Drosophila melanogaster: one gene and its partners. The protein of the gene in region 2 binds, or shares a complex with, the protein of the main gene of each other region. Each region holds a gene or a part of one and is shown on either strand. Other genes may lie near its edges. The genes, in order: mip120, Caf1-55, Nurf-38 and E(bx).

The links.
Region 1: Caf1-55 (region 2) and mip120 share a complex: the UniProt entries of both Drosophila melanogaster proteins name them as parts of the DREAM complex.
Region 3: Caf1-55 (region 2) and Nurf-38 share a complex: the UniProt entries of both Drosophila melanogaster proteins name them as parts of the NURF complex.
Region 4: Caf1-55 (region 2) and E(bx) share a complex: the UniProt entries of both Drosophila melanogaster proteins name them as parts of the NURF complex.

What each region holds. Positions count from the first base shown.
Region 1 is NT_033778.4:13,508,047-13,515,037, forward strand, and holds mip120 (Myb-interacting protein 120), read left to right. Parts: upstream 1-1,571; 5' UTR 1,572-1,650; coding exon 1,651-1,681; intron 1,682-1,742; coding exon 1,743-3,190; intron 3,191-3,248; coding exon 3,249-4,162; intron 4,163-4,250; coding exon 4,251-4,390; intron 4,391-4,457; coding exon 4,458-4,783; 3' UTR 4,784-5,066; downstream 5,067-6,991. Other genes in the region: mEFTu1 (mitochondrial translation elongation factor Tu 1), read left to right, coding at 1-1,167. UniProt on the Drosophila melanogaster protein: Component of the DREAM complex, a multiprotein complex that can both act as a transcription activator or repressor depending on the context. In follicle cells, the complex plays a central role in the site-specific DNA replication at the chorion loci.
Region 2 is NT_033777.3:15,223,907-15,229,489, forward strand, and holds Caf1-55 (chromatin assembly factor 1, p55 subunit), read left to right. Parts: upstream 1-1,669; 5' UTR 1,670-1,986; coding exon 1,987-2,008; intron 2,009-2,059; coding exon 2,060-2,620; intron 2,621-2,730; coding exon 2,731-3,440; 3' UTR 3,441-3,658; downstream 3,659-5,583. Other genes in the region: CG31344 (uncharacterized protein), read right to left, coding at 1-481, 836-1,028, 1,177-1,240; Art3 (arginine methyltransferase 3), read right to left, coding at 3,745-5,273, 5,338-5,359. UniProt on the Drosophila melanogaster protein: Core histone-binding subunit that may target chromatin assembly factors, chromatin remodeling factors and histone deacetylases to their histone substrates in a manner that is regulated by nucleosomal DNA.
Region 3 is NT_033778.4:24,557,463-24,563,097, reverse strand, and holds Nurf-38 (nucleosome remodeling factor - 38kD), read left to right. Parts: upstream 1-2,010; 5' UTR 2,011-2,037; coding exon 2,038-2,245; intron 2,246-2,687; coding exon 2,688-2,806; intron 2,807-2,872; coding exon 2,873-3,268; intron 3,269-3,323; coding exon 3,324-3,475; intron 3,476-3,533; coding exon 3,534-3,643; coding exon of another isoform or gene 3,644-3,675; exon of another isoform or gene 3,676-3,946; intron 3,947-3,965; coding exon 3,966-3,997; 3' UTR 3,998-4,131; downstream 4,132-5,635. Other genes in the region: CG11414 (uncharacterized protein), read right to left, coding at 1-71, 129-692, 756-901, 960-1,238. UniProt on the Drosophila melanogaster protein: Component of NURF (nucleosome remodeling factor), a complex which catalyzes ATP-dependent nucleosome sliding and facilitates transcription of chromatin.
Region 4 is NT_037436.4:243,148-249,545, forward strand, and holds the start of E(bx) (enhancer of bithorax), read right to left. Parts: upstream 3,766-6,398; 5' UTR 3,236-3,765; intron 3,177-3,235; 5' UTR 3,070-3,176; coding exon 2,781-3,069; intron 2,329-2,780; coding exon 1-2,328. Other genes in the region: mthl14 (methuselah-like 14), read left to right, coding at 4,854-4,969, 5,055-5,474, 5,529-5,718, 5,772-6,195, 6,254-6,330, 6,385-6,398. UniProt on the Drosophila melanogaster protein: Histone-binding component of NURF (nucleosome remodeling factor), a complex which catalyzes ATP-dependent nucleosome sliding and facilitates transcription of chromatin.

The DNA of each region.
Region 1 (6,991 bases), on a different chromosome or scaffold from region 2:
ATTACCAAGGTCCTGGCCGACAAGCAGCTGGCCGAGAGCAAGAAGTACAATGAAATCGACAATGCGCCCGAGGAGAAGGCTCGTGGTATTACCATCAATGTAGCCCACGTGGAGTACCAGACGGAGACGCGTCACTACGGCCACACAGATTGTCCGGGACATGCCGATTATATTAAGAACATGATCACCGGCACAGCCCAGATGGATGGCGCCATTCTCGTTGTGGCCGCCACCGATGGCGCCATGCCCCAAACTCGCGAGCATATGCTGCTAGCCAAGCAGATCGGCATTGATCACATCGTGGTGTTCATCAACAAGGTGGACGCCGCCGATGAGGAGATGGTCGACCTGGTGGAGATGGAGATCCGAGAGCTGCTTACCGAGATGGGCTATGATGGTGACAAGATCCCTGTGGTAAAGGGCTCGGCGCTGTGCGCCCTCGAGGACAAGAGTCCCGAGATCGGCAAGGAGGCGATCCTGAAACTGCTCCAGGAGGTGGATAGCTTCATCCCCACGCCTGTGCGCGAGCTGGACAAGCCCTTCCTGCTGCCTGTTGAGAATGTGTATTCGATTCCCGGACGCGGCACCGTCGTCACTGGTCGCCTGGAGCGCGGAGTGGTCAAGAAGGGCATGGAGTGCGAGTTCGTGGGCTATAACAAGGTGCTGAAGTCGACGGTGACGGGCGTGGAGATGTTCCACCAGATTCTGGAGGAGGCGCAAGCCGGTGATCAGCTGGGAGCTCTGGTGCGCGGCGTTAAGCGAGATGACATCAAGCGCGGCATGGTCATGTGCAAGCCGGGCAGTGTGAAGGCACTCGATCAGCTGGAGGCCCAGGTGTACATCCTGTCCAAGGATGAAGGCGGTCGCACAAAGCCCTTCATGTCCTTCATCCAACTGCAGATGTTCTCCCGCACCTGGGACTGTGCCGTGCAGGTGCAGATTCCCGATAAGGAGATGGTCATGCCCGGCGAAGACACCAAGCTCATTCTGCGCCTCATCCGGCCAATGGTCCTGGAGCAGGGACAACGCTTCACGCTGCGTGACGGAAACCTGACCCTGGGCACTGGTGTCGTCACCAGCACTCTGCCCCCATTGACTGAATCGCAGCGATCCGAGTTGACGGAGGGCAAGAAGGCGCGCGAGAAGAAGGTGGCGGCTAAGAAGTAGATCCCCGGAACGCCGTCAGTCATTAACTAAAATCATATTCTTAAGCGATTTTTATGCATATTGTATAAGTTGTTGGCGCTCCAATCACAATCGAGTAAAATATAAACAAACACCTATGGACAACGAAGTTTTAAAACTTGGAATATTAGTAGGGATCTTAAAATTGATTTAAAATAGTACGGCTTTTAAGTATTACTGTTGTTGCCTGACATTTCGGCATTTCAAAGGACTATTTGTTATATAAAGTTATGTAAGTAAGCATTGATCATTGATAAAGGGCAATATTTAATTTAGGCGCCACTCATCGATTGCTTATCGCTCTATGTTAACGGCATCCGAAATAGAGTGGTATCGAAATGGAGCCGATAAAATCAAACAAGGCCGATAATAACCTGACTACGACATTTTACAACACTGCTGCAACCGCCTTGAACGCAGCTGATGATAAAGAACATTTTGAAATTGATTTGAAAATTGGCAAAAATGAGTACCTACCGCGTAGACTACTTGACCGGTAGATTCAAGCACCGTAAACGTTTGTTTGCAAAGTAATTAATAACTTATTTTGTCCGCAGATTCCCTAGACGACACGGAACCATTGCCGGAGCTGAGTTTTGAAGACTTTTTGGAGCCAACGTCGGAGAAGAGTTCCCAGCACATGGAAATCGAAGCTCTGGACTCAGAGGAAGACAATATCGGCGGTGAAGATCTGGCCGATCCGGCCAACGATTCCCTGAACACGCCGCAGTTTAAGAAGAACGTGGTCCACATACTGGAGGACAAGAGGTTAAACTCGTCCGGACTAACCGTTTTGAAGTCGCACGCCATTAAGATGGTGACTGCCGGAGGTACTCCTCCGGCCAAGGCGCAAGTTACAGACGTAAAGATACTAAACAAATTGAAACCAATACCCAGCAGTACGCTAAAGATCGGTAGCACGACCATAGCGACCAAATCCACACCGGGCAGCATAACCAAGACTTTGGGCAACTTGACCCAGATTAGGACGAAAGATGGCCAAGTCATCTTTGTCCAGAAGTCTGTTCCTGGAACACAAAGCAGCACTGCGGTGACAGGGTCACCAAGCGGTGGAATAAGACGCCTCGTGGCGCCTTCTGGTATCCAGAAGGCAGTGCTTTCTAAGGGCGTGACCATGGCAAGCACGGGTCTGGTCAAGGCGGCTGTTCCTGCCAAAGCAAGCACCTCGGTACCCGGCTCAGCCATAACCTTAAAGGGCATCCAACCGCTGGCCGGAGGCACTGCGAAGGCGTCGACTTCCAGCACGACGGCAACCACATCCCCATCTTTGGCACAGCCCAACAAAATTCAGGTGGTGCGCACTGCCGATGGCAAAATTATCAAGATCAATCAGGCTGGTCCCTCACTGCTGGTGAACGCCAAACAGGGAACTGGGACCACAGTCACACCAGGAGGTTCTGCCGCCACTTCTGTCAAACTATCTCCCTCCACGGGAAATGTGGTGCTCAACAAGCCCGTTGGCCAGGTAGTGGTGAGAACAGAAACTCCTGTAAAAACGGCGACGGGCTCCGTTGCCAGTGCATCCGCAACACCGGGCAAGATGTTGGTTCAAAGTGGCGGCAAACAGATTCTTGTATCCAACAAGAACATCATTAAGCTGTCGCCGAATGCGAGTGCCACCAGTTCGACAACCCACACGACGGGCGGACAGACACCTTCCACCTCGAGCGGATTGCACGCTATTCAGCTGCCTGGCAAGGGAGGAATACAATATGTACGTGTCCTGAACAACAATAAGAGTGCCGCCGGAACAAGTGCAACAGCCTCAATCCCGAAAACAGTGCAAACTCAGAAGATCACTGTGGTGCGGCCACCGGCTGCTACTGGTGTTCCTGCCACATCTACTACAACATCCGCAGCAGCAGCTTCACCTGCAGCCGCATCGAAGGCAAACCTTGCCATGGGCAACACTAACAAGATTGTAATGCGATCAATGGGTGGCAGCATTGTGCCGCTGCCTTCCGTGCAGACGTTGGTCTCAAAGGTTGGTACTTGTGTTGGTACAAATTTATTTCATTCTAACTCAATTTCCATCTTTAAAGCGTGCGCTGGGCGCCATCTCCAACGCTTCAAAACCAGCCAGTGCGGCGAGCAGCAGCGCCACGCCGAGTGCCAGCCAGGAGTTGCCACGCAAACACCGTCTTACTGATCTCAATGTGCAGCTAAAGCAATCGGCCTCGGTCAGCAGTGAAGCTAGCGACAGCAGCGATGCGGGTCCTGAGGCCAAAAAGCCGCGTTACGTTATTACCATGCAGCAAGGATCACAGAAGGCAGCTTCCCAGCCAGTTCAGAAACTAATTAATCGGACAGCGAATGTACAGCGTGTGGTGTCTAGCAGTACAAGTCCCAGTTCCAACTCCACAAAGAAAATCTACAACTATGTTCAACCGACTGGAAGCAATGGGGCCAAGTACATGATCTGTAACTCGGGTGTGCCCCAATCATCGACGAGTGCCATGCGACGGGGATACACTGGATATGTGGAAAACAAGACGCGACGCCCGCCACCCATTTCCCCGCAACAGCACCGCTTTAAGCAGATGGGTCCCCAGCAGCAGTCCAAGCACCAGCAACTTCAAGCGCAGGCCAAGCAACGGATTAGACAGCAGCAACTGCCTACCGAACAATCGACGCCGATCAAGGTCGAGCCAAAGTTGCCGACACTGCCTCCGGGGGTGAAGGCCAATGTACCTGCCAAGCCGCTCTTTGAAGTCCTAAAACCTCCAGCAACCGCGGCAGCAGCCGGAGCCGTCGATCCATTGGGCGGCATGACTTCGCGGCGAAAGCACTGCAACTGCAGCAAGTCGCAGTGTCTAAAGCTTTACTGCGATTGCTTTGCAAACGGCGAGTTTTGTCAGGACTGCACCTGCAAGGATTGCTTTAACAATCTGGACTACGAAGTGGAGCGGGAGCGTGCTATTCGCAGCTGCCTCGATCGTAACCCCAGCGCCTTTAAGTAAGTTTATTTGAAAGGAAAAGCTTATGAGGTCTATCCTATGTTTCTAAAGATGCTAATCACAACTACTTTTTTTTTTTTTAAACAGACCCAAAATTACGGCACCCAATTCAGGTGATATGCGTCTGCATAACAAAGGTTGCAACTGCAAAAGATCGGGCTGCCTCAAGAACTATTGTGAGTGCTATGAGGCAAAGATTCCCTGCTCCAGCATATGTAAATGCGTTGGTAAGTGAACTGATAAATCTGTTTTATCTATGATCAAACTAACTGAATCAATCAACTTATTATTTAGGGTGTCGAAACATGGAAGACCGTCCGGACGTGGACATGGACTCTCTGGACGGATTGATGGGTGTCGAGGGTCAGAAAAAGGACAAAGCTAAAAACAAGCAATTGAACGAGAATCGCGCAAATATATATTTTACGGACGATGTCATTGAGGCGACCATCATGTGCATGATATCGCGGATTGTGATGCACGAGAAACAGAATGTGGCCGTGGAGGACATGGAGCGCGAGGTTATGGAGGAAATGGGCGAAAGTCTGACACAGATCATCGCTTTTGCCAAGGAAAAGCAAGAAACCTCTCAGATAGACGAGTCCAAGCCTTCTTCTTAGGCATGCAAATATAGTCACACATTAATTAGTTTATAAGTTCAAAGAGTTCTTGACCTTTTCTCAATCATATTCTAATTTTGGCTTTCTAAAAGTTGACCTTAAAGTAAAGTGTTTACCCTATTTAAATAATTTAAACACAAAATGTATATATCATACATAGCAAATTTCAGATATAAGGCTATTTTAATTTTTGGCCGAGCATTGTAATTGTGTTGTAAACTTTTCCCTTGGATTGAATGTAAATAATTTAGATACCTAATAAAGTTTAATGACCATTGAACACAAATGAAAAGAGACGTTGTGTTGTTTTGTAGCTTGTTTATTCACCAACAACTTCAGTTACATATTTGTATTTTGCATTTGCATTGTTTCAAATTTATTGATGGGCGAGTATATTAAACTCAACGCAATTTAGTTTGGTTTTTCACAATATCGGTATCAGCTTAGTTAGCAATATCTCTATAAAATAAACACATGTCGAATGACTACAGTATAGGTAATGCATATATTAGTTGATTGTATTGATAGTAGGTATTTAGTTTTGTATATATGTAGTTTTTTTTGTTTAAGTATAGTTATATATTCTACTTGGTCACCATTGGTATGTATAAATAGCATATAAGTATGTTTGTGTTCTGGTTTCTCCCGGTTCTCACCCTATAAACATGGCATGGCATGACATGAGTACATATGTGTGTATGTATGTAGTTTCAAGGTTTGAGTAAAAATGTGATAATCGTTTAAGGACTATAGTACATATACGTGGTTAGTAATGCTAATATATATATATATATATATGCCCTGTTATACATATTTTTCATACACTGTTTTGACTAATATGCTCGCGCTAAACTATACGTTTTATTTGCGGTCATTCGAATACGAACTTTTTCGAAGAGAGAGTATGTGTGTGCGATTATCTTAAATAGCAAATACATACAGTAAACGTTGAGTATATCGATTTAAGGATAGTTTTGAATATTTGAATACTGTGCACAAAACGCTTTGGTTAGTTGCATTAGCATTGTTTGTTTGTTTGACCCCATACCAGCTTTTTTTTCTTGTGAATTGTTAGTTACGTAACACTTATGCAACATTTGAACATAGTTAGGCAACAATAACGATTTGATTACGCATAATATATATGTATTTGTATTGAGAGTATGCTGAACTATTCAGTTAGAAGCTATATTGTCTAATTCACACGTTTATATTGAATGCTGGGCCCCCAGAAGGGGAGCTAAAGCATAAACTTACACAACAACTTTATGAAAACCGAACAAAACCATTTGCTAAATATCGTATATGTACGTTGGATTTGCATACCCTGTACAATGTCTTTTTCTTAGGTTGTCGTAATATTGTATATGCAATCATTGAAGAGTACCTTAATTGTTAAACGCGTGTTGCATGATTGAATTCGGCAATTCTTCAAAGCGTGAAAAGTCATAACGAACACAGCGTAGAATTTATGGATATTAGTTGAGTAATTCATCTTTCACAACAATAGAACAACGATGATAATCAGCAAGTATTTCAGCTATTCGTATATACAGTTTGTCAATATAACCTCATTGTATACCTGCGATTAACTACATTTTGTCGGCTTTCTTTAAACTTTTTCGACCATTACAGAGCTATAGTTTACTTTACACTACTTTCGATTAGAATTGCTGGGACTATATGCGTTCAAAATAATGATTTTCATTGCCCAAATGAAGAGGAGCATTAGTTTTAAAGAGGATTTTACGTGGTGATCACAACGCTTAAGGACACTTGCAGCCATTCAAGTGCCTTGCGGCAATATCCTTACGATCCAATACGATCTGGTTAAGTGACGAAATAATGTCGGTAATATTTATGGGCTAAGATCCGAAACTTTGGGTGGGAAGAATTGAAGTTATAATCAGTGGGTACTAGTCTAAATTTTGTAGAACACCCAATTTAGCGACTTTATTCCTCACTAGATAATTGCAAACTAAAATACAACTTAAGACTTCTATTCAAAATTGTGAACGCTTATAGACCCTGTATATATTTTTAGATTCTATGGAATGGTGTTTATATTCCACGTACCATTTGGCACCAAAAGCCTATCAAATATTCCCTTTTTTTGTCAGATAACTTGTGTGTGTGCTAATGTGGGCAACAATTTTACAAGATTCAATGATTATATATATATATACTTTATTTAACTTTAACAACTTG
Region 2 (5,583 bases):
GAGCTTTGACTCCGCCCAGTTCCTACCGCAGATGTTGTACTCATCCTTGATGCCCAGCAGATAGCCGAGAACGCGCCACATATGCGTAGTGGCCTCCAGGAAGTCCTGATCTTTCAGCTTTATGCGATGTGCGCCCATCGTTATGAAGCCAATGAAACCGAACTGCGTGAGCGCCAAATCCTTCTGGGTGATCTGTCCAGCTCCTTGGCGGGCGCACGCATGACTGGAGCGGCTGTGGGCCCGCCTCACGGCCGCAATGCTGGTCCAGAACCTGCTGCCACGGTCCGCGATGTTGTGGTTATACCAGGCTTGCGTGTGGAATATAGTACGCACATAGCGACGGTAGGCGGTGAACGCTGTCGAGGATTGGCGTGTGCACGACAGCACCCGGAGAATGGATGGAATAGCCAGCACGGCAATAAGACCAGCCAGCATTCCGGCGTTCATTACAAAGCGATACGTGCTAAAGTAGCTCTGACCACTGCAAGGAAAAGGAATAAAGAATCAATTAAGTAATTCGAATGCAGTTATATTATTTAAATTAAAATATACATATACATACATGTACATATACATATATATTGTTAAAAGTAAATGTATGTCGCCTTTTGTTATTAATATGTAAGCCCGTAGGTACAAAATTGGAATAATGAGCACAGATAAAGATAAGTATTATATGCTGCCTTTTCGCATTATTATTCACATAGCAAACTGCTACATAACTCCAAGCTTATAAATAACCCATGTGTATATGGATATTGTAATTATCACAATTATTTCTACTGTGGTTACTGGGCTAATATGCAATCAGTGAACAATTAGTCACGCAACTTACCGCCTGAATAGCTGCTCATCGTACCACGAAGGTAGCTCCAAATCAGCACCGCTGTCGCCCTCCTGACTGCCCTCCTTCATTAGGTGCTCCAAGTAGTCCTCGGGCTCCTGGTGATCCTGAAGCAGTTTTGAAGCCCCCGCTGCATTATGACCATCTTTGGAATGCGATGACGACTGCATTTTCCCACTGATCCCTGGAAAGTGACGTGCGATGTAGAAAACGAGCTTGAGGTCCAAATTCGGATTACACAAGTGAAAGAAAGAAAAGACAAACAAAATCGTCGGCGCGCCAAGAGAGAAAGTTTTTCATTCAACCCGCCAACAAGTCCACTGTGCACTTACACGTTTCACGCTTCGCGGGATGGGGGATCTCGGATGAGCTGCTGGTACAACCATCAACCTGCATGTCGGCCAAATTATTGCTTGTTAAACTATTTAGCAAACTCAATAGTTCAGCTCGTTACGTGCAAAAACATTTTGCATACACAATTGGAAAAAAAGCGTTGAGGATGAATCACGGCTGCCCACCGTCGTTGCGGTTGGGGAACTTAACTGCAACTGGCACGTTAGGCTCGTCAAATAAGAATGGAAAGCCGGTCATTGGCGCGTAAACTGGTTTCGAATCATTCGCACTGATAACGAATTAAGTAGTAAACTTTGTTTATGCACTTTAGTGTGCCCGCAACTGCAACCGTTAAAATATACCTTTTAAAACCCCAAATATATCGATGTAAACCACAAAATACTAAAATCATGACGCAGGAACGTAACAAGTATAAAAATACCGCGCAGTGTCATCTCCATAACTCTGTTATCGTTATCGTAATCGAATATGGCAGTCGTCTCGACAATCTTTAGCATTGCATCTCTATCATCGACGACGCGCTTGCAAAAAAACGAAGGAAATTAGCCAATTTCTATTTTGCCCTGACGTTACGCCGTTTAAAGTGTAAGTTCCCGGCCAGGATTCGACTCAATCCCTGCCACAACGACTTTCGGTCAAGTGTTCGTTGCGAGAGCTTTAACTACGTAGCGAACTTTCGTAGTTTTTCTGCACACGTTTTGCCGCTTCGGCTTTTGTTTTGGCGCCCGATTTTTTCGGCTGCCGACTTTTGACGCAGACTGAGAAATTGCGTGCCTAAAAGCCTCGAAATGGTGGATCGCAGCGATAATGGTAAGTCCGGTTAGAAGTTAATCGCCGCAATGTGTAACCATCGACCTTTAGCAGCGGAATCCTTCGACGACGCCGTCGAGGAGCGCGTGATCAATGAGGAGTATAAGATTTGGAAAAAGAACACGCCGTTCCTGTACGATCTGGTCATGACGCATGCCCTGGAATGGCCCTCGTTGACTGCCCAGTGGCTGCCGGACGTGACCAAGCAGGATGGCAAGGACTACTCGGTACATCGTCTTATACTGGGCACACACACATCTGACGAGCAGAACCATCTACTCATCGCCAGCGTTCAGTTGCCCAGCGAGGATGCCCAGTTCGATGGTTCGCACTACGATAACGAGAAGGGCGAGTTTGGAGGCTTTGGATCGGTGTGCGGCAAAATCGAAATCGAGATTAAGATCAACCACGAGGGCGAAGTGAACAGGGCCCGCTACATGCCCCAGAACGCCTGTGTAATCGCCACCAAGACGCCGTCGAGTGATGTCCTGGTCTTCGACTACACGAAGCATCCCAGCAAGCCGGAACCGTCTGGCGAGTGCCAGCCTGACCTGCGGCTGCGCGGTCATCAAAAGGAAGGCTACGGACTCTCTTGGAATCCCAACCTCAATGGTAAGTGCGTAGCTGTACCTAGTACTTATATATTAGCTCAGATAAGAGCTTGACACATCTAAAATGCATTACGTTTTAACCCTTAATGAACATCTTGATTGTCCTTACAGGCTATTTGCTGTCAGCCTCTGATGATCACACCATCTGCTTGTGGGACATCAATGCCACACCCAAGGAGCATAGGGTTATTGATGCCAAGAACATCTTCACCGGCCACACCGCCGTTGTTGAGGACGTGGCTTGGCATCTGCTACATGAGTCTCTGTTCGGATCGGTGGCTGACGACCAGAAGCTGATGATCTGGGACACGCGCAACAACAACACCTCGAAGCCCTCGCATACAGTGGACGCTCACACAGCGGAAGTCAATTGCTTGAGCTTTAATCCCTACTCGGAGTTCATTCTGGCCACGGGCTCCGCTGACAAGACTGTAGCTCTATGGGATCTGCGCAACCTCAAGCTAAAACTACATTCCTTCGAGTCGCACAAGGACGAGATCTTCCAAGTGCAGTGGTCGCCGCATAACGAGACTATTCTCGCCTCCTCCGGCACTGACCGCCGCCTACACGTCTGGGATTTGTCCAAAATCGGCGAGGAGCAGAGTACGGAGGATGCTGAGGACGGACCACCCGAGCTGCTCTTCATCCATGGCGGTCACACTGCCAAGATTAGCGATTTCTCGTGGAACCCCAATGAGCCATGGATCATTTGCTCCGTGTCCGAGGACAATATTATGCAGGTCTGGCAGATGGCCGAGAATGTTTACAACGACGAGGAGCCAGAGATTCCCGCCTCCGAGTTAGAAACCAATACCGCTTAAAGCATCTGTTCCGCCTCCTATAATACACACCAAACTACAACTGAATCCGATAATGTTTTGGCCGTGCCCCGTGTCCAGCTATCCAGCCTAAATGGCAATGGGTACTCATTTTAATTTATATATATTTACATATTTTTAAAAACAAAATTTAATTAAGCTCTCATTTGTCAGCAGATTGTACAATCTATGAATTTTTAATTAAAAATGATTAAAAAGTCAAGAAATGAGGTTAATTTTTTTGAAATTAAATACCAACTTAGATCTTCAAGCGTATTTTATTTAATTCTATTCAAAAAGAAGCACATTAAACCACATTGTATTTGTGTTTCTTGCCAAAGACTTCTATGTCCACACTAAGTCCTCTGACATCCTCTTTATGTCTTCTTGACGTGATTTTCCCACAAATGACGTCTCCTTCCTTCACAACCTGCGGGTTCTCGATGAAGAAAACCGTTTGCTTCCAATGGGTGGGCGTCGCAGATGGTGATGTGCTGAACATGACGGGGGAGGGTAGTTCAAACAATGTTTCAAAGTAACCGACAAAGGCGGATAATCGTCCCGGCTTCGTGACCTTTAAGCTAAACTGGTGAGTAAAGTTTGGATAGTTCATATCGACGGTCATTATGTCGAAGTTAGCTATCTGTTCGGGTTCCGTCAGCATGAACTCTGCATCCACCACCTGCATGAGTGGCTCCTCTATTGATTGCTTTCGCAGATCGCTCATGTCGACCTCGTAAACGTTAGACCAGAATTCCACTTCATCGGCATAAAGCGTGTCGTCTCCATAGCCCAAGAGACTGAGTGTACAGCGACTGGGCAGTATTATGCCATTGGGGTTGAGGTGATTCTCGCGGGCGTAGATAATGCTGTCCAGCATTGATTCGTACAAAAGAAAATAGCCCATCCATTCGGATATTATAATGTCGTATTTAGTCTCTGGGAGATCTGTGTCCTCCAGCCGTCCCTTGATCAGTTCAACATTCTCAACCTTGTTCTTCCTGATGATATCCATGGCGGTGTACACAATGTCCGAGTTATCTATGCCGACAACGCGAGCTGCACCCGCTTTGGAGGCGAAGATGGATAGGATTCCCGTGCCGCATCCCACATCCAACACTGTCTTGCCCCGAACAACGGCCTCGTTTTGGAGCAAAGACGCGCGATAGGTGCTGGTCCGCACCTTGTCGCTGAGCATTTCATGGTGAATGCCAAAGTGGGCGTAGCTTTTGAAGTATTCGTTGTCGAGACAAACGTTGTTACGCGGTACGCTCTGGTCGGAACCTTTGGGCTCGCCGTCAGCATGTACCTTTTGCAGCAGCGCCTTGTAGTCGTTGCGCATGCGTTCCATGTCCTCGTTGGCCTGCTGCAGCAATTGCGACTGCTCAGCAATCCGCTGTTGTAGCTCCAGAACCGAGGGCTGCGTCGGAGCGCCGTCTGTTTTAAGGACTTCGTAGTCATAGCAGAGCCAGGGCTCATACTCCCCGGGCTGGAGGTACTTCTCATCCTGCCAAAGCGGATGTTCCGCAGACAATAACTGCTCGGCACTGATCTTTTTGGCTCTTATGTAGTTTATCAGTTTGATAAAGGAATACTGGTCCATTTCGAATTTACGCTGAAGCTGGGACAGATTCACTTTATGCCGGGCGTCAAGATGGTCAATGGCCACCGAGATGTTTGCAGATGTTTCGGTGCAAAACAGACAAGTGGTTAGCTCATCGCCTTCGTCCATTGGCTCATCATCGTCATCTATGTCATCGTACTCATCTTCGTCGGAGCTGGAATTGGCCGGCACCTCAGGTGCCTCCTTCACGGGCTCCTCCTCTGTGGTGTTGTCTACATTGGGATGGGATTAATAAGTAATCATCTCCAGGAAATAAAAGCTTTTACGGGCTCGAACCGTTGACCTCGGTGTCTTTCATGCTATCTTTGTTTGCAAGTCCTATTGGCCTGCTTTCAGAGAAAAGAATTCAAATCGCACGACGAAGATCACAAATTTATAAATGCCAACTAAATGGGGTTTTGAGCGGCGCGAACACGTGCGGAAATTTGGAAACGAAAATAGCTTAACGCGTTTTGGTATACTTGAAATGTTGCTTTAGAGGGTATCGCAGGGGATATATGTTATAGAATAACTTTCGACGAC
Region 3 (5,635 bases), on a different chromosome or scaffold from region 2:
CAGCATCAATGCTCACATGGCGCTGGGTGATCGAAGGCAAATCGTTCTGGTAGTCGTTGTGCTCGTCATTCCTGTAAGGTTTACCATTCTAAGAGTGCCTTCTTCAAATTGGATGGCCGCTCACTCACCTGGTTCTCACGCTGGTTATGCCCTGCTCCGTCTGCCCACTACGGCCACGAGGCCCCAAAGTGATCTCCACCTGCAAGGTGCGCGTCTGCTTGGCCTGCTGCTTGTTGAGCGACTTGCCGTGCACGTTGGCCACGTGCGCCTTGTACTCGATTTCGTTGCGGAATGCGCCGACAAACTGCTCGGTGGCGCACTTACCCTCCTCGCAGAGAAAGTGCTCCGCCCGGAAATGTTCCGCCAGATCCGCATAGTCATTGTAGAACTCATTGCAACCATCGGCGTCGCAAAAGTGGCAGAAGTAGTGCTCGCGGCGCAAATGACGGAACAACTCATCACGGTCCACATAGCGTTTATTGCAGTATTCGCACAACGGATGACCGCGATGCGACCGATTGTCCGGATCGCCCTTGGTGTTGTGTAGCTGCAGCTCCGCCTGAGTGTAGCACCTCCGTTCGAAGGTGAAGATATTGAGGGTCTCGACGCATAGGTCACAGTACAGAAGTTTATGCTCGCTGCGAACATGGTTGCGAAGGCCCTCGAACGTGCGGTATGGAGGTGCATCGCATCTGCAATTTAGCGTAGAAGGGTGAGCCTCAATGGTGCAACTCAAGTGCGGGCAGAATACTCACTTCGGGCAGGGATGGTCGAGCAATTTGAAGAATTGCTGTCTTATCTCTGCGGTGCAGAAGCCGATGCGGTACTTCTTGCTGTATAAATCAGAGCGGTTATTTGCCTCCAGTTCGCGATAGGGCAGCTTGTCCAGTGTGAACAAAACCTGCAAGTGTTTTAGAATTAGATAGAGATTCGGTTCTCTAGACAAGCGCAGGACTTACCTTGGACAGGACGTGGCGGCAGATGGGGCACTCGTTCTGCTGGCAGAGAACCCTCATCCGAGTGGAGCACTCGTAGCACACGGGATGATCACAGTCGCCGATGGAGAAAATTTCCACGTTTTTGAAGCACACCACGCAGGCGTTGTCGTCGTTGCCCGTATAGCTCTCCAAGGCCTCCGGCTTGACAGCAGCGTTATCAGTGGTGGTGTTGGCCACTCCGTCTTTGGGACGGCGGTGGAACGACGGCCTGGCCGAAGATCTCGGTTTTCCGTTCTGCATTTCACTAGAGATTTTGCAGTGAATGGAGGGGGGGAATTTACTTGTTGCCACGGGCACTTGAAAATGTACGTGTAACGACTGCTTTCGGATAAAAGCTGGGGTTTCTTGGATCCCCCGGTTTGTTTACTCTTTTGGAATATCTCGTCAGCAAAATAAAGGGGAATTTTTGCAACGCCAACTCGAAAGCAAGGCAACACGCACACACGACAGACGAAAAGAAAACTCAGAATTTAGAAAACTCGATTGCCAATGTTATCGATGACACTGCTCGGATCCCCGATAGCACCGATAGTTCCCAGTTGGAAGCTTTGTTAATGTTAAGTTAACATGACCAGAATTCGGACAATTTCGCAACGATCAGTAACCAGTACAAGTAAAACCTATTGACTTCGAATTTATAAAAAATTCAATCACTTATATGAAACTTTTAAAATATTTCTAAGTGCTTCTTCTGCAGGTATGAACATATTCAAAGCATATTTTGTTTAAGTTTTTACGATTTGACAAAAACTAAATAATCTTTAAGGTTTTGATAGTTGTCTTATTTATACTGTAAATAGATTTGTATAATAATTATAATTACAATATTGTATTTTATATTTAATAATAATAATTATAATGTTATAGTTTTCATATAATAATATTTATAATAATAGTTCTAATTGTATGAAAAAATGAAGTTCATTCTCCATTGGAATGGATGAAATGGAATCGAGCTATACATTTTCTGAGCAGCACTGTTAACTGTAAAATCGGGTCCTATCGCCCTATCGATAGACTCAACTCAGGGCTGAAGAAAATGTTGGCGAAAATTACAAGGAGTTCATTTTACGCTTCACGTGCGGTTGGTCGCTTGTCCGGCTCGATTCCAACGTCACCAGCGGCCCTTGCCAGCAATTGCAGATATATTCAGATAGAACGGAAGCGCACGAAATCACACGAGATGGCTCTGTACGAAACCGTTGAGAAGGGCGCTAAGAATTCGCCGAGCTACAGCCTGTATTTCAGTGAGTAGAGTAGCGCATTGGGGGCCAAATGTGAATGTGACCCGGCTTAACCCTTTGCTTGCGCATTTGCAAGTTACCCAAACTCGGTGCAGTTAATGCACCTAGAATTAGTTGATCGGTACCGGAATGGTTATGCAACAGGTCAAACCGGACTCTGCTTATTTAACTCGACGCATTATCAGCACTATCAGCCGATCCGATTTGTCTTGCGTCGGAAATGGCGGAAACACCAAGAGTTTCGGCCCCTTTGGGCTTATCTCTTTCCTTTATTAGCCCATATTCCGAATAGCAGATATCGAAACTGGTGGCTGAATTTCGGTTTACTGGCACGCAAATTAGTGACCTTTGTCTAGCCGACAGGTCCCCGGTCACTATTAATCAAATCGCGTGTCCAGGTGTCGCCCATATATCAGGCATAATAATTTCTGGCCATTCTCCACAGAAAACAAGTGCGGCAATGTCATCTCGCCGATGCACGACATTCCACTGTACGCCAACGAGGAGAAAACTATCTACAACATGGTGGTGGAGGTGCCACGTTGGACCAACGCGAAAATGGAGGTCGGTCTGCCTGTCCCTAAGATTCATACTTCTGAATAATACAAAAATTGCATGTCTGACCCTTAGATTAGCTTGAAGACCCCTATGAATCCCATCAAGCAGGACATCAAGAAGGGTAAGCTGCGGTTCGTGGCCAACTGCTTCCCGCACAAGGGCTACATCTGGAACTACGGAGCCCTGCCCCAGACCTGGGAAAACCCCGACCACATCGAGCCCTCCACCGGCTGCAAGGGTGACAACGATCCCATCGATGTCATCGAGATTGGCTACCGAGTGGCTAAGCGCGGCGACGTGCTGAAGGTCAAGGTGCTGGGCACCATTGCCTTGATTGACGAGGGCGAAACCGACTGGAAGATAATCGCCATCGATGTGAACGATCCGTTGGCCTCGAAAGTCAATGATATCGCCGATGTGGACCAGTACTTCCCGGGTCTGCTTCGTGCCACCGTTGAGTGGTTCAAGGTGGGTGGAATTCGATTTTCGGACGATTCCCTCTCTTACCCTTTGCATTTCGCAGATCTACAAGATCCCCGATGGCAAGCCTGAGAATCAGTTTGCTTTCAACGGCGATGCCAAGAATGCGGACTTTGCCAACACCATCATTGCCGAGACCCACAAGTTCTGGCAGAACTTGGTGCACCAGAGCCCCGCATCCGGGTCCATCTCCACGTGGGTTAAATGCCATTTTATACATTTACAATTAATCCTAAGTACGTCCGTTTCGCAGCACCAACATCACCAACCGCAACTCGGAGCACGTCATTCCCAAGGAGGAGGCCGAGAAGATACTGGCCGAGGCCCCCGATGGCGGCCAGGTCGAGGAGGTGTCTGATACAGGTAAGGTTCACTATATTAGATCGAACTTATAGCTGCTTCACCCGATCCCAACCAAAAACACACTACTCCAACACACGCTTTAACCACCAGTAACTTGCAAACAAATTGGTTACACAAACACAACCTGCACGCTTACTAATAGCTACTTTAATTGTCCAGTTAGCAAGCTAAATTGAGATTACTCCATGCTGTAAATACTGCTGAAACCCAATTTATGTAATTGGCTTGCTTGCGTTCGTTAATCGTTGTACATATACTTTATACTGAATGTTATCCTGAAATAAACCCTTTTTATACCAATTTACGTCCTTTGTAATTGCAGTCGACACTTGGCATTTCATTCATCTCAAGTGAGATGTTCTCCTGGGCTGATTCCATCACAAGATCCATGATCTATCTGTAGTCCAATCGAATCGAAAATGCTTGCACTTGTGAATTATTAATACTGAAATATTATCGTACGTTGAATAAAGTTTTGCACCGCAATCAAATTCGCTGTCGATTCCTCTTGAAATATACAATCTTTATTTATATTTTACGACTAGATCCAAACAAGTTTAAATTAATTAAAAGTTATGTAATTGTAAGGCATTGCAATACTACATAGAATCGAATCGAATTATGCCGTGTGGTGTTGCTCAGATGTGATTTCCGTTCTATTGCAGGAGAGCATGTGTGGGAAGGTGTGGAACGTAAAATTTATTGCCGTAACAAATTAACTTAAGCTTACGAAATAAAAGAAATGTACAAATCAGTTAGGCGTTATAAATATGTATAGAAATCTTTAAAAGAAGACAAAAATAGTTATATACATCAGACATTTTGATTCTTGTTCGTTTGTTCGTTCGTTTTTTTGTTTGCTTGTTTTTTTTTTGTTTGTTTCTTCTCATATTTGATTCTTGGCATAACTTTTTGCTTTCCTTCTGCGCGAAGAACTAAAAGAAATAAGCATAATTTACGTAATTCACTACAACTAAAAGCTCCACGAGACTGTTTCATGACAGATGATAGAAATAACATATAGACCAATTTAGACTTTCCGATATAAGTGCGGATAAGTAGCGTGTAATAGTTTAGTAATTGTCTTCATAATTTTTTTTTCAACATTTTTGCTCTGCTTTCTCTTGTAGCTAGATGTTAGCTTAGTTGTTTCTTCAAGTGGTACACATTCCTCGGGTCGATCGTTTCCTGGTTGCCATAGTTTCGTGCCGTGTTCTGCCACAGTTATCAATAATAATAGTTTTAGTTAATAGTTCATAGAATTAAGTAGCTGCTCGTGCCAGTGACGGTGCCAGAAAATCCCAGAGAATCGCACTTTACTTGCGACCCAGGGTATCGCGCCATTCGTTATACTTGTCCATCTCCTCGTGCAGCTGAAGAGCCTCTATGCAGGCGTTGAAGAAGGGCGATCCGAAGCATTCTTGCCTGTGTTCAAAAACAAAAGGAGGAGGAGGAATTAGGAAACCTGATTTTTTTTAATTTGGTGTATAGCTTGCTCAGAAGAAAAAAGAGCCAAAGTTCAAAAGCCATATTCAGGTATGGTTGAATATATCACAAAAATTATTGTTCTCAAAATCTTGTTCTGTTTGTTTGCTCAAAAAATACGAGCTCAACAGTTCGAGGATTATTGAGGAATTTAACAAAAAGTAAAGCATAGTTGGTCAAATTTTTAGCTTGAGTGCTAGTTAAAAGCCAAGAATGCACAAGGTCAAAAATCAAATAATTAATTAAAAACAAAAGAAAATTATAACGTACCAAAACAAAAACGGTAAGCAGGCGTTTTTAGTCGCGCCAGAAACGCGCGCAAATCGCCAGCTGCAGTCTGTCTGTCTCTGTCGCCTTCTGTATGGCGGTCTCTTTCTCTGGCGGTGTCCTGCGTCGCGCATTCGCATTCTAATTCTCATTTATCACAATTTTGATGCTCTCAAATAGCCAGCGAATGATTGATTATCCTTTATTAATTTACAGGGTTTTATTAATTATGTATTATTT
Region 4 (6,398 bases), on a different chromosome or scaffold from region 2:
CCTCGGCCAACTTTAAACGGCGATCCAATAAGTCATCTAATCTAGATTTGCGAGCCACTTTTGAATAATAAGTACGGCCTGGAGCATTTAGCGCTTTGCTGACGTCGATGTGCCCTTTGATTTTCTCCGTAACATCTTCTATAACTTTCACATTTTTATATTGGTCCGGTAAATAATGACACACCTGACCATCGACATTGCTTGACTCACATTGTTGCATAAACCGTTGGGTGCGTGGGTCGACTAAAATAATTTCATTTACGTCGTTTTCCTCTCCCATGGTGTAATGTACGTAGACTCTATTGTGTGTTAGAGGTTGGGCTCGACGTGCACGAACACCACAGCGTCGACTGCTTGAGAGCCAAAGCCAGCCCCATTGCCCGTGGACCCGGTATTCTTCTCCTTTTTGCTTCCAGACTTGATGTTTGAGACCCAGGGTATACTTTATGTAGTTAAATGCTAAGCGATTACGTTCTTCCTCATCATCCCGCTCGCGCTTCTCTCGCTTTTCTAGTTTTTTTCGCTCCTCTCGTTCGGCACTAGTTATGCGTTGCAAAGTTGTGTGTCCGAGTTGCTCATGCCAGACGTTGGCAAAAACAACGCTCTTAAGGGACGCTTGAAAAAGTAACAATACTACCGCAAATTCAGAAGGTCGACGGGCGTTCATCACCGCAGCATTCCAAATTTTTTTGTTAACTACCCAGTTAATATTTAAAAAGGAAGCTGCTATATTGGATTCGAAGTTTATCAATGTTTGCCTTAGAGTTGTTATCATATTGTCAGTAGTTCCCATGGTTATACCGATCCATTTAAAGTCAGAAGCCGTCGTTAACGAGAACTTATGGGACAGATGGCGTCGCTTATCTCGCTCCTCGTTTCGTTGCGGCTTGTTGAGTGCAATTGGATTTGTTGAATACTGGTTGACATAGTTCTTAAATCCTTGCTCCATGCCAAGTTTAAAATGCAAAGTACCATTAGTCAGCTGATTGGATTTTTGACGCGTGACCATTTTACATTCTTCTTGTTTTTTTGTTCCCTCTATAGATTGACTCTCAGATTTAGCATCACCATCTTTTTCATCCTCGTCAAGCACCTCTTTCTCCAAAAGTTCATTTTTAGCCTCTTGTTCGATTTCGATAACACTACGCTTCGTGTGTTTGTGTTCATTGGTTAAGGTCTCAGTCAGTTTCATTTGGCGCTCGATTTCGTCTCTCCTTTCTGTAATCTGGCTATGCAGACGAGTTTCCAGTTCTTCGGCGTCCAGTCGACTGAGCAGCAATTTTAACTTACTTGTCGTACTGTAATACCAGCATGTAAAGTTCTCCTGATCCTCGATAAAAATGCGACGTGCAATAAACCAATATTTGCGCCCATGACGATCAACACCGAGGCTATCATGCCGGATTAGCACGCCTTGTTTTTCTTGTGGCAACACGCAGTCCACTACGCCACTTACCTTATGCGAGCGGCAAAGCCCGCACTGCCAATCCTCAGTAGGTACGTCATTCATTGGCGGGTCTACACATTCCAAATGATAGACAGCAGGGCACGTCTCGCAACATAATAAATCACCGAGCCGATGGCACACTCGGCAATGGTCATCATAATGAATAGGTCCCTCCTGCAGCATTACATCTCGTATAGAATTGGAAGTTAAAAATTGATCTGACAGAAACTGGAGCACTTCAAGCCGGTTGTCAATGCCCGTGTAAGGGTATTCAGTGTGGCTTAAAATGTGAAACACGTTGCGATCAAATGTCTTATCGCTTTCTACATAGCTTCGCAAAACTTCCGGCCACGTTATAGAGTCAATCAGGTAAAGACTTATATTAACCGTATCTTTTTGATCCAGCGGGCCAAAATGTGTACCCTGCGCGTCCTCTTCTCGAAGAATCGCTTTAAGCAGCATTATGTGTACCTCCGTCAATAATGCACTTTGCTCCTCACAAGCCAGCGCTGCACACAAGTCTTCAAATCGGAATGGTGAAAGGCGGACCATGTGGCGAAATCGTCGCAGTACTTCATAGATACTTAGCGCGCGCAAAACGTGTGTATTAGCAATGAAAAGATCCTCCGACGAGTCCGGCAAATCAAGCGCTGCATACTGACGACCTTCCTGCAGCCACACAGGTTCTGGGCTAGGAGGACGTGGCGGCCGACCAACTCCATTTTGGTTAAAGCTGCACACGGAAAACTCTGATTCGCTCTCGTTGGCTACTTCTAGGCTCTCGTCGTCGCTGGGAGTAAGCAGCATATCATCCTCATTATCGGATTTATCTTCTTCGGAATCCCCAAAATCTGACCCGTAGTGATACTCCGACTCGTACCCTGAAAAGAGGAACAGTAGCTCTTAGAACCAATATGATTTCACCAACACCTAAGTGCATAAAACCTGACATACTGTCACTGCTATTGTGGACCCAATTTCTACTGAATTGTATTTAAGTAATTGTTATTAAACTCATGCCAACTAGACTGAAAGATTTTTTGTCGTAAGATTTCAAAAATAATCGTTGGTATTAGAGCAGATAGACCTATCGAAACTGACTCGCCCGGTAGTGGTTGTCACGAAAATATTAAATTTGATCTTTTATGAAGCGGAAGCTCTTTAACGCACAGGAAAACTCGTTTGAAGTATGAGTACCATTCAAAACGATCAAAGTTTTCTCCACTGCAATCAATATATGGCACATTATGTTCCCTATTAATCTTCGAACTAGTCAGAGCGAAACTGTAAGTCTTGACTCCCAAGTTAGAGTTTAGGTGCCCCTTTAACCCACCTTTCCTTCCAGAGTAGCTACTGGTGTTCGGTTGCACGGCGGATTTGCGGCCTCGTCCCCTCTTAGCGGCGCTCCCGCGACTGCGATTGGTGTGGTTGTTGTGGCTGCTCCTGCTGCCCTCGTCGCTCTGTGGAGAAATGCCCCTGGATGCCGACGGAGTGCTGGGCTGCGACTTTCCCTCGCTGAGATACTTCGGCTTCTTGAGAAGCTGGTAATTGAAGCGTCCTGATGCGCGTTCGTTGGGCGTCTTTGGCGGACGTCCACGTTTACGGCTGCCGCGACCGCTCATCTTGTTTGTTTTCGCCTTGCGTATTTATCTGGCTGTGTGCAGGGGTGCGTGGGGGTACTCTCCTCAGATATTGTTCCAAGTTAATGCTGCGAGGCTGCACATTAGATCTGAAACGAAAATTAACCCATTAGTACACGGTGCCACAGGAACGCACACCGCATCTCACTCGCACTCAGCTAGCTATGTATTTACGGGGCACATTCAAACACACATTTACTCAACAGCGTATGTGGGGGAAAAATCGATCAGATCGTCAAAAGTTTGTCGTTGGGTGTTCACTTTCTTTGTATTGCGCAAATTTGGAGTTGAAAAAAACCCGCCAAAAGAGCTTGTTTAGTTCAGAATAACGGTTCCGATTAAATACATTAAGTACATGTATTCAAAACACATTCTTGGCTTCTAGTGTTGGACGGCAAACGCACTGGACAGCACCACCAAGTTCGATTGTATGTGTGCGAGTGCGATGAAATGAAGCCAACGCACATTGTCCGCCATTTAAGCAACCGTGAAAATTTTTGCGTCTGTTTAAATGTCACTCTTCTTTCACAATTAACACATGGATTAACTGCGCAAATTACCCAGCATGTTGCGGAATAATTGCACAGGATTTAACACGATATATTCTAATATTTTTAACTATCTTCAGCACACTGCGAAAGAGACTTTTACCTAACATTACAGTTTTGAACATAGCTAAAGACGGTGTACAGTCGGCCAATCACAGCGACTCTTCTATTGCGTGAAGTCAGAAGCGTCCTCTTGCGGTCGGCTTGGAGAACTAATTCTTTATGGTTGCACAAACGATATAGGCAGGGTTGCTTTTGGCATTTACGCTGAACCGCACTGACAGATGTATTTTTATTTTTATCGACGTGTTGAGCGGGCGTTTAAAGAAAACCCGTTAACTTGTAATCAAAATAAACTTACCTTTGCTCACTATCTTAAAAATTAAAACGGTATTTTTGATGCGGTAAAAAAAATGTATTTTTTTGTAAATTTATTTTAGTGTATTACATTCTACCCAATTTCGCATTTTAAATCCTGGTGATCTCATTTCGTAAATTGCCGACCACGAAAAATCCATTAAAAATGTTATCGATAATAAGTTGCCGTTACGATTTTTTGTTTACTGGGAAAGGTTTTTATATTATTATTACTTAAATTTTTTAAAAAATTATTCTAAAAATACTAAATTAAAGTATTTTAATTGTGTTTGTTGAGAAATGTGTTATTGTTAAAGAAATTAGGGTAAACAATTTGCTTTGAAGCCCTGAAAACATCGTTATCTTATCGCCTGCACAAAGTGATTCCATTGCAGAATTAAAACTTCTTTTTCGCTAGTATTACTTTATTAATCAAGCTCAGTGGTTGCATTTTAAATAGCAAGCATAAATTATTTGACATGTACGTAAACAATAATTGCCATAAATAGTTTATTTTTAAAAATACAATAATTGAATAAAATATGATCTAATCAAATAATCAGTGCGCAAAAATTGACATTTAACGCGGTTTTGTATAAGTTGATGAGTGTAATTTTCCGAGTATTGATCAATTCTAAGGAATGTGCTACCACATTCGTCTGACGTCATGTGTTATATTATGATAACGCACTCTACTGGTATCTTACACAGATAAGATAGCCCATATCTTACCAGTTCCCACACCACCTAACTAATGTCAAAATTTGGTTTGTTTACATACTTTCTGTGTAAACGAACTCGGCAATTTTGTTTTATTCATTTTATGCTATATATTTTTTGTAGATTGGTTGAAAAGGCAATATGAATCTAGGCCACTGGAATTTTCTCCTAGCTCTAATCAGTTTACAAACGTTTTTTAACGCCTCCGCACAGATAAGCACTGTAAATAACAGTTCGAAGGGATCAAACAACTCAAAGTAAGAAATACTCAAAATATTTGTTTTCGAAAAATACTAATTTTGGAATCTTTGCATTTTCTATAATATATTTTGCTTTGCTTAGTATTTTCCATGAAGACACATTCAATAGCACTTCGATTGACGTTCTGGACGCCTCAATACATTCAACACTGGTTGTACCTCAAACATATTCGACAGAAGCTGCAACAATATCAGGTGCTAGGTTCGCAACCTCTGTTCCTGTTCAAAGTCCTGTAGACAACCCGTTAGATCCGGCGGACTGTTCTCAACGGGAAAAGTACAGAAAGCAACCAGTTGCAACACCATCGTCTCGTTTAAGAAAATGCTGCCCACATGGAGAAAACTTAAATATATATCGGGAAAATCAAAGCGATTCGATGTGCGACAACGGGCTCTTAAGCTTCGAACCGACTATAATAAGTGCAGTTCTGTTCGATAACTGCATTGAAGATTTGGAGGTTGAGACTACGCTCGACTACGACATTGGAAATCCGTGCAACAGGTATGAAAGCGAATGTTAAATTGAATCAAAGTACAAATTCTTCTGCAAAATTAGTTCTCTTTTGTACGACGACAAAGACGATGTTTTCTTTGTTCTGCAAGACGGTTCGTTATTAATCATCGACAAATTTGGCAACGAATCATACACTGTGAAGGAACATTATTGCTTGGATATTGATAAGTCAGGACACTTGTTTGCCTTTACATGTGTAACCCAAGTGGAAGAACAAATTGCCTTCGCAAAAGTAAGTCAATGTAACATTATTTTCTATTTACCAACGGATGAATATTATTTCAGGTCGTTTTTGTTGCCGTTCTTATGCTTATATCTATGCCCTGCCTGCTATTAGTTAGTTATTTGCACATGACACTTCGTTTATTGCGTAACTTGCATGGTCTCTCGCTAAGTTTGATGTCTCTGTGCTTGGCGTCTGGATACTTTGTGCACTCCGTTGTGCACATCTATGGGATCCCGAACCAAGGGTTCATTGGCTACGTCATACAGTTTTGTATTTTAAGTTACTTCTTCTGGTACTTGTGCATATGCTTCAATGTTCTTTTGAATGTGTGGTACAAGTTGCCTTGCTGCATTCAATGCTCAAAGAGTTGGGCCACCTTTAATTTTGCGTGTTACGCTGTTTTTGCCTTTTCCGGACCGGCCACAATAGTTGCACTAACTGTTCAAAAAGGACTCCCAGGAATGCCGTCTTACTTTCTGCAAGGCAAGTTATTGACTTTAATAGTTAAAAGTATAAGTAGTAACATATGTATTATTTAAAGGCCTAACTGAATCCATCCGAGATTCCCAACGTTACTTTATTCCTCCAGTGTCTACTATACTTTTTCTAAGTTTTTTGGTAAGCACTTCTTTTCGTACCTGTTTTTTGTTTTATGCAATTGTACATTCTTAGCTTAACATCATATC